Xenopus tropicalis: one gene and its partner. The protein of the gene in region 1 interacts with the protein of each later gene in a pairwise test. Links are inferred from orthologs where the notes say so. Each region holds a gene or a part of one and is shown on either strand. Other genes may lie near its edges.

Region 1 (4,083 bases):
AAAGATACAAAGTCAAAGGCATTTGGCAGAGAGCCCTGAATACTCAACACCTGCACTTAGATACAATTGTAACTAATAAGATAAACAGATCTCTTGGGGGAACGGAGACTTGCATCTTTAAGGGCATTTCATTAACACTGTAATAACATATGAAACAAAATCTCAAGAAAAGTGTTCAAATGGGCAGCATTTCTTTTTGCTCCTCTTTGCATTTGTCCAATGTTGGGGGGTATGTTTTATAGAGACCTACATTGTTTAGCCAGGGTTTTTTTCCTCAAATATTTTATGACTTTGCACTGCTCCTGAAAAGAATATACATGTCTTGTTAACTCACAGCAGGAGGGACAGTGAGTGTGAGTGAGAGAGTGTGTGAGTGTGTGAGTGTGTGAGTGTGAGTGTGTGAGTGTGTGAGTGAGTGTGTGAGTGAGTGTGTGAGTGAGTGTGTGAGTGTGTGTGAGTGAGTGAGTGAGTGTGTGTGAGTGTGTGAGTGTGAGTGTGTAACTCACTCACAGTCCTGCTCATTTCTATAATCAATTAAATACACCAGAATATATTTGCCAAAAAGAAAAATCTTACCTTTGTCCTCACAGAAACTGCTCACTAAGGGCACAGAAGACTTACAAATCCGACAATTCTAATTAATTTCAGATACCTTTTAAAAGGTAAAAACAGAAAGAGAAGCAGTGTGTCAGACACACGTGTTTCAGACTTGCCTCTCCTGTACCGACACTCGGCAGAAGTGGCCTCTACAGTGTGGCCTATTTAATAACCAGGCCTAGTCTCTGTTATTTCTCTCCAAATATAACAGACAGACAGTGGTATCTAGTTAAAAACAAAAGTAAAACTATAGGTGTGTAAATAAACGGAACGCAAAACAGGTTTATTGCGACTGGGGGCTGAGATATTGTTGCGCACCTATCGTTCCAGACTTTATGAATCAAATGCCGATGCCGCTGGATAACCCAGAGCCCTCTGCTGGCTGGGGGACATGTTATGCACATGCTATTCAGGAAGCACAAATAGAGTTACATTTAAGTCATTAAAATATAGCAACTTGATAATTCTCATCTGGCCGGTACATAATGCTAATGTTACTACCGGTAGTTTGTATACTAAGCTGCACTCGGCTATCTATAAACAGTCCTTTTCTACACAGGCACATCGGCCGCTTCACCCCATGGTTCGATGCATCGGCGGTTGATTAATGTTCAGCTGGCTGCTCGGTGCATAGGGCTGCCTTCGCTACGGACCTGCAACCGAGCAGGATGGCGTCTCAGCCTCCTCCGCCTAAGCCATGGGAGAGCAGAAGGGTGCTAGGCGGCCTCCCGGCCCCGTCCTACCAGTAAGCGTGATAATGCTTGGGGCTAGTGTAAGGCCGCAGATCTGGGCAATAGGAAGGGTGTGTAGGCCAGTGGGACTGAAGTCCAAGGAAAAGCAACTTGTGTCAAAGCTGATGTAAAAGCGAGAAGTTAGAAACACAGAGTTGCCTTTATATTGGGTTACAGCTGCACAGTGTTGCCAGTGTGTATATCGGGTATTTGCAATGTGCAACGCCACAACTATAGTGCTGCAGGATGGACTGTTCTTATTCTCCACCCAGTAGGATGGCTCAGCTTCCCAGCATTTCTAGGGGCAGCGCAGACTGACTATTATAGTACTCTCATGGTGCTAAACCCGGGCAGCTCTCATTAGTCCACCTGAGTGCAAGGAACACTAATAGAAGCAAATGCCAGATTGGTTGCTGTAGGACAGAGAGATCCCCAACCAGTGGCTCGGAGGGCAACATGTTGCTAGCCAACCCCTTGGATGTTGCTCCCATGTGTGCCCTCAAAGTAGGTGCCATCTTTGCATTTCTGGCTTGGAGGCAAGATTTGGAAGGCAAGAGACACAGATTTACCCCAAGCAGAGCCTGCTGCAGGCCACATGAGGCTACCAAATAGCCAATCACATCCCATATTTGGCATCCCCAAGGAACTTTTGGCTGGCTCTGGGCTGGAGATCCCATATGTCTTTTATTATCAGCTCCCATCAGACAGCCAGAGCCTGGAGTTTTCTACTAAAGTAGGAATAGTTCTAAACTCCCAGCAGTTTTTATTAGTCCTCTTGACTGGGCAAGTGCATGTAACACCAGCGGAAGCAAATGCAAGACTGGCTGCAGTGGAGTGTGCAGTTTTACTTCAGTTTTGTTGCACTATAACCTGGCTGTGCAACAGCTCTCATCATCCTCTGATAGCTAGACCCTGGGGTTTGTAGTTCAGTAACAGCTGTTGGGCCTTCACTTAGTTTAAAATATCAATATGTGAGCCTTAATTTGTATTTGTAAATATCTGTGCAAAAACCCCAATTGATTAGCTGATTCAAGCTAGAATGTCAGACTAGCCCCCGTTAGCACTATGTCTCCCAGCACCTTAAGGTGCCTAAGGAGCTGGCATGTAATGTATCGAGGGCTTCTTAACCTATGAAAGGTTTCATTGGTAGCAGTGCTGTAAGGGTTTTGTTATAGCAGAATGCCTCTTGTACGGCACGCACTGCTTGTGACAGTGTTTATGATTAGAGGTAATAGGACTCAACTCAAGGAAGTCCAAAGGGTTTGTTTATTATGTTTGTATGACTCCACAGTTTGCCTCGAGAGATTAAGGAACACTGATCCGTGCATATTCCTTTATTAATCCATATTAATCCATATTGTGTCATATATTAGACGTCACAAAGACATTTAATCACCGTGTAAACTCTGCAGTTAATTTTAATACTCTAGTCTAGTGTTTAAAAGTAGGGGATAAAACTTTCAGGGAGTTGAAACAATTGTGACATCATTATGAGGCAGATTTATTAACATTTGAATTAGAGTTTTTACCGTGATTCGACTGTTTTTTTAAAATCACAAACTCAAATTAGTTTCCAAAACTGGAATGTTAAATATTTAATTAAGTCAAAAAAACTTGCAAAAAAAAAAGTCTAGCAAACTAGGCTAACTAGCAAATCCATGCAGGAGTCTATGGGAGTTGTCTTTGCTAAGTTTTTCAACATTTTTCAAGTCAATTTTTTTTTAAAGTTGGCAGATACATTTAAAAATTGAGTAGAATGCAATTTTGCTACATTCATGTTTTAAAGTTTTTTCTAATTACGTTTTTTTTTTAAATTTGATCTCAACTAAGATATAATTAATCCTTATTAGAGGCAAAACCTATTGGGTTAATTTAATGTTTAAATGATTTTTTAGTAGACTTGAGGTTTGGAAATCCAAATTACAGAAAGACCCCTTATCCAGAAAACCTAAGGTTCTGAGCATTCTGGATAACAGATCCCATACCTGTAATACAAATATTTTAATGGTTAATGTGATACTAGTCACCATAGAATTTATATTACAGGTTATTTGCTACTTTTGCTATTATTATGGGGGTAAAACACCAGATTTATTTTTTTTAAAAAAGCTCTTTGAAGCCAAAACCATGATTTTCCTTGCACTGTGTTTACATATGTGCTTTTCTGTTTGTAGACTGTTAACCCCCCATGTGCACACACACAGGCATTCTGGTCTGTTGTTTACTATTTTTAAAAAAAAGCTAAGGTCACACTGGAGAACATACCTTTGGAGATAAGAGGGGGTACTGTAGTTAAAGCTGGCCATATGCTGAAAGATTCACGGGTTTGGCAAAGTCAGTAAATGGTAGGATCTTTTCCTGATATGCCCACCTTGAGGTAGCTGATATTGTATTGGTCACATTGATGGAATGGATGGGTGTGGACCACATCAACAAGCTAACACGCTCCTCGCACCAACTGAATTTTTAAACCTGCCCAATGAACATCTGGGCAATTTTCAGCCAGGTATCCATTGGGTAGGCCAATCAGAGGGCCCTGCACTCATTCGGCAGCTTTTATTGGACCCCTGACTTGCCTTTAGGCACAGTGCACCAGGGCAAGTAACCTGCAGCAACTAATACACAGGTAGCATTTACTAAATACTAGTTTAGAAGTAATTATCTAAAGAAGATAGAAAAGACAAGCTATGCAACATGTCACACAAGCCAAATCCCATTGCAATAATCACTTTTAGATGTGTTATTGCATATACAA
Region 2 (3,657 bases), on another chromosome or scaffold:
TTGTTTGCTTGCAGAAAAGTTGTGTGTTGTCTGTAGACTAACTTGCATTGTCTGCTGGGGTGTCTGCTAGAGTGCTTAGTTAGAGTTAGAAGGCCTAGGGTGATTTGCCTCTGTGAAGCATCAGTGTCCAATAGAACATCTAGACTGGAGGGGTGCTTGCGGCCTGAAAACACTGTGGTGGCAATTTTTAAGTTCGGCGGGTTGGGGCTGTTTGGGGTTGATTGCATGAGTTAGCGAGAAACTGTGTAGTTGATGTGTTAACCCATACAGCCGCCCACCTGGTCACTTACATCTGTGGTGGCGTTTGTGACAATGCTACTTTAAAAACTGTTTGCCAACAACAGATGTGGGTTGAAATTATAATTTCTTTTTAAATATTGGAAATGCATCTTCTTTCTCAAATCTTTTTGTACCATGCAATATGAAAAGGAGTCTGAGAAAAAGACCTGGCTAAAAGCAAACTAGAGTCTCTATAAATATTCAAGGGTGTAATCCTTCAGGGCAGGAGGCCTTCCACATTACTTTGCTAAGGTTTAATACCATTTCCTGTGTCACCGCTGACTTGTTTGAGAAGAGCTGTATGTGATGAGTGGAAAGAAGTGAAGAAAAGAACTGGTTAAGCACATTTGCTTTTTCAAGAGACCATTGTAACATATAATAATAAAATATTTCCATTTTTATTAATGGAGCCATACTTTCAACCTGTATTGTTTCAATTCTGATATACTGAAAAAAAAATGGGATCAGTTGTTGCATGTAAAGCAGTTTTAGGAAACTGAATTTTAGTACTTTCAGATTCATTGTTTAGCAGGCAGGTTGGGTTATGAAGTTTTCAGCTAAAAACACAGAAAACAGAAATTTAACATGCTTTTAAATAGCTATTTAACATGCTATTAAGTTATTACTGTTCAAACTTTATTTTTAAGCCAGAGAGGACTGACACTCTTACCGCATATAAAAACATTAAATTACATAATACACCGAGACCCAGGTCATCTAATACTTGCATACTTCTAATATGCTCTGGGTTGTAAAAGGTCGCTGGATCCAGTTTAAAATATTTTTTGTTTTTAATATATTTTTAAATTACTTTCTCTGTAATAAACAAAACGACCTTTTCTTTGATGTTAACGAAGCTGCATAAATCCATGTCGGTTGCAAAGCAGTCCTATAGGTCTTTTAAAATGTTTAATTGTTTTTTAGTAGATTAAGACAAGAGAATAATTCTTGAGTAAAAAATACCCATAAAACCTAAAAGTGGTGTTTGAATGGCAGCGGCCTGCTCAGTTCCATGACTTCTAGTTTTCTTACCTTTTACAGAGATACCTGCTCCCATTGATCATTGGTGGCAGGGAAAGCCGCAAGCAGCTGCAGCGTATTGAGTCTGGGGTGTCTGAGATGAGTGGCAGTGTGACACAGACAGGTAAAGATTAACGACTCCATTTCACCCTTCTTCACACACACACAGCCCCCCCTCTTCCCCTCCTCCTGCTCCTTCAGTATTCGTCTCTTCCCTTTTATATGGTGACTTCATTTATCTGCTCGCAAAATCTGTTCACATTTGCAAATGAAGGCGCCGTCATTTCGGTTTAATTTGAAATTGCTTGTTTACTGTCGCTGCGGCCTCAATTAATTATGTTTTTACGGAAAGGCTCCCAACCTCAGAATATTAATAAGGGAATTGGAGTGACAGCTTTTTAGAGCAATGCAAGGTTCAAGCATCTACCTCCTCTCAGCCATGCAGCAAGAGTGTGGAGAATTGCCTGGATTTGTTTGTTTAGGAATTATCTTCTTCATTTCCTCTCCTTCCATTGCATCCAGAATTTATTAATATATATTAATATATATATATATATATATATATATATATATATATATATATATATATATATATATATATATAATGTGACATATAGTGATACAAATATATTTATATTAATAACATTTGTTCATCATATTGCCCAGCATATAGAAAAGAAAAGGGAAGAGTTAACTTTCTGAGATTATAGTTCTGTAGCATTTAGTCCTGAATTTATGGGCAACAAGATAAGAACTTGTACATTGTAGAATATATATATATATATATATATATATATATATATATATAACATAATTTTAGGTAGTAGCCCAGTCTTACCCAGTCTTATATCAGTCTTTATTCATTTTAATAATACAAAAATTCTTCCTTCATTGTGCTGGGGTAAAAATTGAAGTAAAAAAAAGTTTTTATTGCTCTTGTAAATACATGTTTTTGTTAATTATGTCTCCACTGGTAAATATGTAGCCTGAGCACTGCTAAATGATAGGCTTTGCCTCAAATGACTGCATTATAACTCATTCTTTCATAATTAGTCTTGTTGCCTATCTTTTACATTGGCCCTACAGTGCAGAGTGCAGATGTGACTTAAACTGTTACAACCTGTGGTAAAACTTGTTGAACATTTTACAGCATTTTATAAAAATTTGAATTGCTGCGGAAATCTTTTTATAGTGGCCTTCTAAAAGTCTTTATTGGAACAGAATATATATCTGTATTTCAAAAAGCAACCAGCGTACTAAAGGAAAATTGCTAACAAACGTAAAAGTGTTTTGTTTTTTTTCAGTAGTGTTTCTTTTTTGGCCAAATCCTTTAAAACTAGAGTTGAATATATTAGTGCACATCCCCTTTAAGCCATTTCTGTTGCTGCTTAAATGCCTGCACTAGATAAAAAAAAGATAAAAAATATACTGTGTAAAATATAAATAAAAGGAAAATGGGATGATTTTCATTTAAACCCAGTTTTAAACTGCAGATAGTACGAAGACAACATACCAAATGTTGAAACAGAATTATTTTTCTGAAAAATATAATATAGTATACAGTATATGCTTGTTTTGAATTTGATGCTAGCAACACCAGAAAATTGTGTAATGTTAAAAAAAAAAAACACCTGGTAAAACATGTATGTATATCTTTATTTATAAAGCGCTACTTACTTGTATGCATCGCTGTACAGCAGAACAATGGGTTAATACAGGGATCCCCAAACTTTTATACCCGTAAGCCATATTCAAATGGAAAAACTTTTGGAGAGCAACACAAGCATGAAAAAAGTTCCTGGAGGTGCCAATGAGAGCTATAAATGGCTAACTGATAAGACCCTATGTTGACTAGCAGCCTACAGAAGGCTCTTTTTGGCAATTACACTGGGTTTTTATGCAATCAAAGTTTGCCTTCTAACCAAAAATTCAAAAATGAGCACCTGCTTTGAGGCAACTGGGAGCAACATCCAAGGGGTTGGGGAGCACCAACTACTAAGCCACTGGTTGGGGATCACTGGGTTAATACTACAGGGGGTTATTAAAATAATAATAGATAAATACAAAGTATAACAATAATTACAAATTAATACAAGGTACAGTTGCAGTAACTTAAGAATCAAAGAGAGAAGAGGATGGAGGTCCCTGTCCCATAGAGCTTACAATCTAAACATCTCAAGAATTGGCAAGAGGTCAGTACCATGATTGGGAATAAAAAGAGTGGATCCCAGAGAATTTCTCAGAAGTAAAGATGGGGAAGCGTACACGACAAATCACTGCAAGGGAGGAGAATATTGCTGTGATTTAAGAATAACGTTCATCAACGTAAAATTGCAGAGAATTTGGGGATTTCCTTAT

The links. The genes of interacting proteins can lie anywhere in the genome.
Region 2: the proteins of pex13 (region 1) and pex14 interact in a two-hybrid assay, tested with the Homo sapiens proteins (2 studies listed by BioGRID and IntAct, with this or other methods). The link is inferred for Xenopus tropicalis from reciprocal best matches to the Homo sapiens genes PEX13 and PEX14.

Annotation. Positions count from the first base shown.
Region 1 is NC_030681.2:33,784,089-33,788,171, reverse strand, and holds the start of pex13 (peroxisome biogenesis factor 13), read left to right. Parts: upstream 1-1,166; 5' UTR 1,167-1,265; coding exon 1,266-1,342; intron 1,343-4,083. UniProt on the Homo sapiens protein: Component of the PEX13-PEX14 docking complex, a translocon channel that specifically mediates the import of peroxisomal cargo proteins bound to PEX5 receptor.
Region 2 is NC_030683.2:64,165,956-64,169,612, forward strand, and holds part of pex14 (peroxisomal membrane protein PEX14), read left to right. Parts: intron 1-1,320; coding exon 1,321-1,423; intron 1,424-3,657. UniProt on the Homo sapiens protein: Component of the PEX13-PEX14 docking complex, a translocon channel that specifically mediates the import of peroxisomal cargo proteins bound to PEX5 receptor.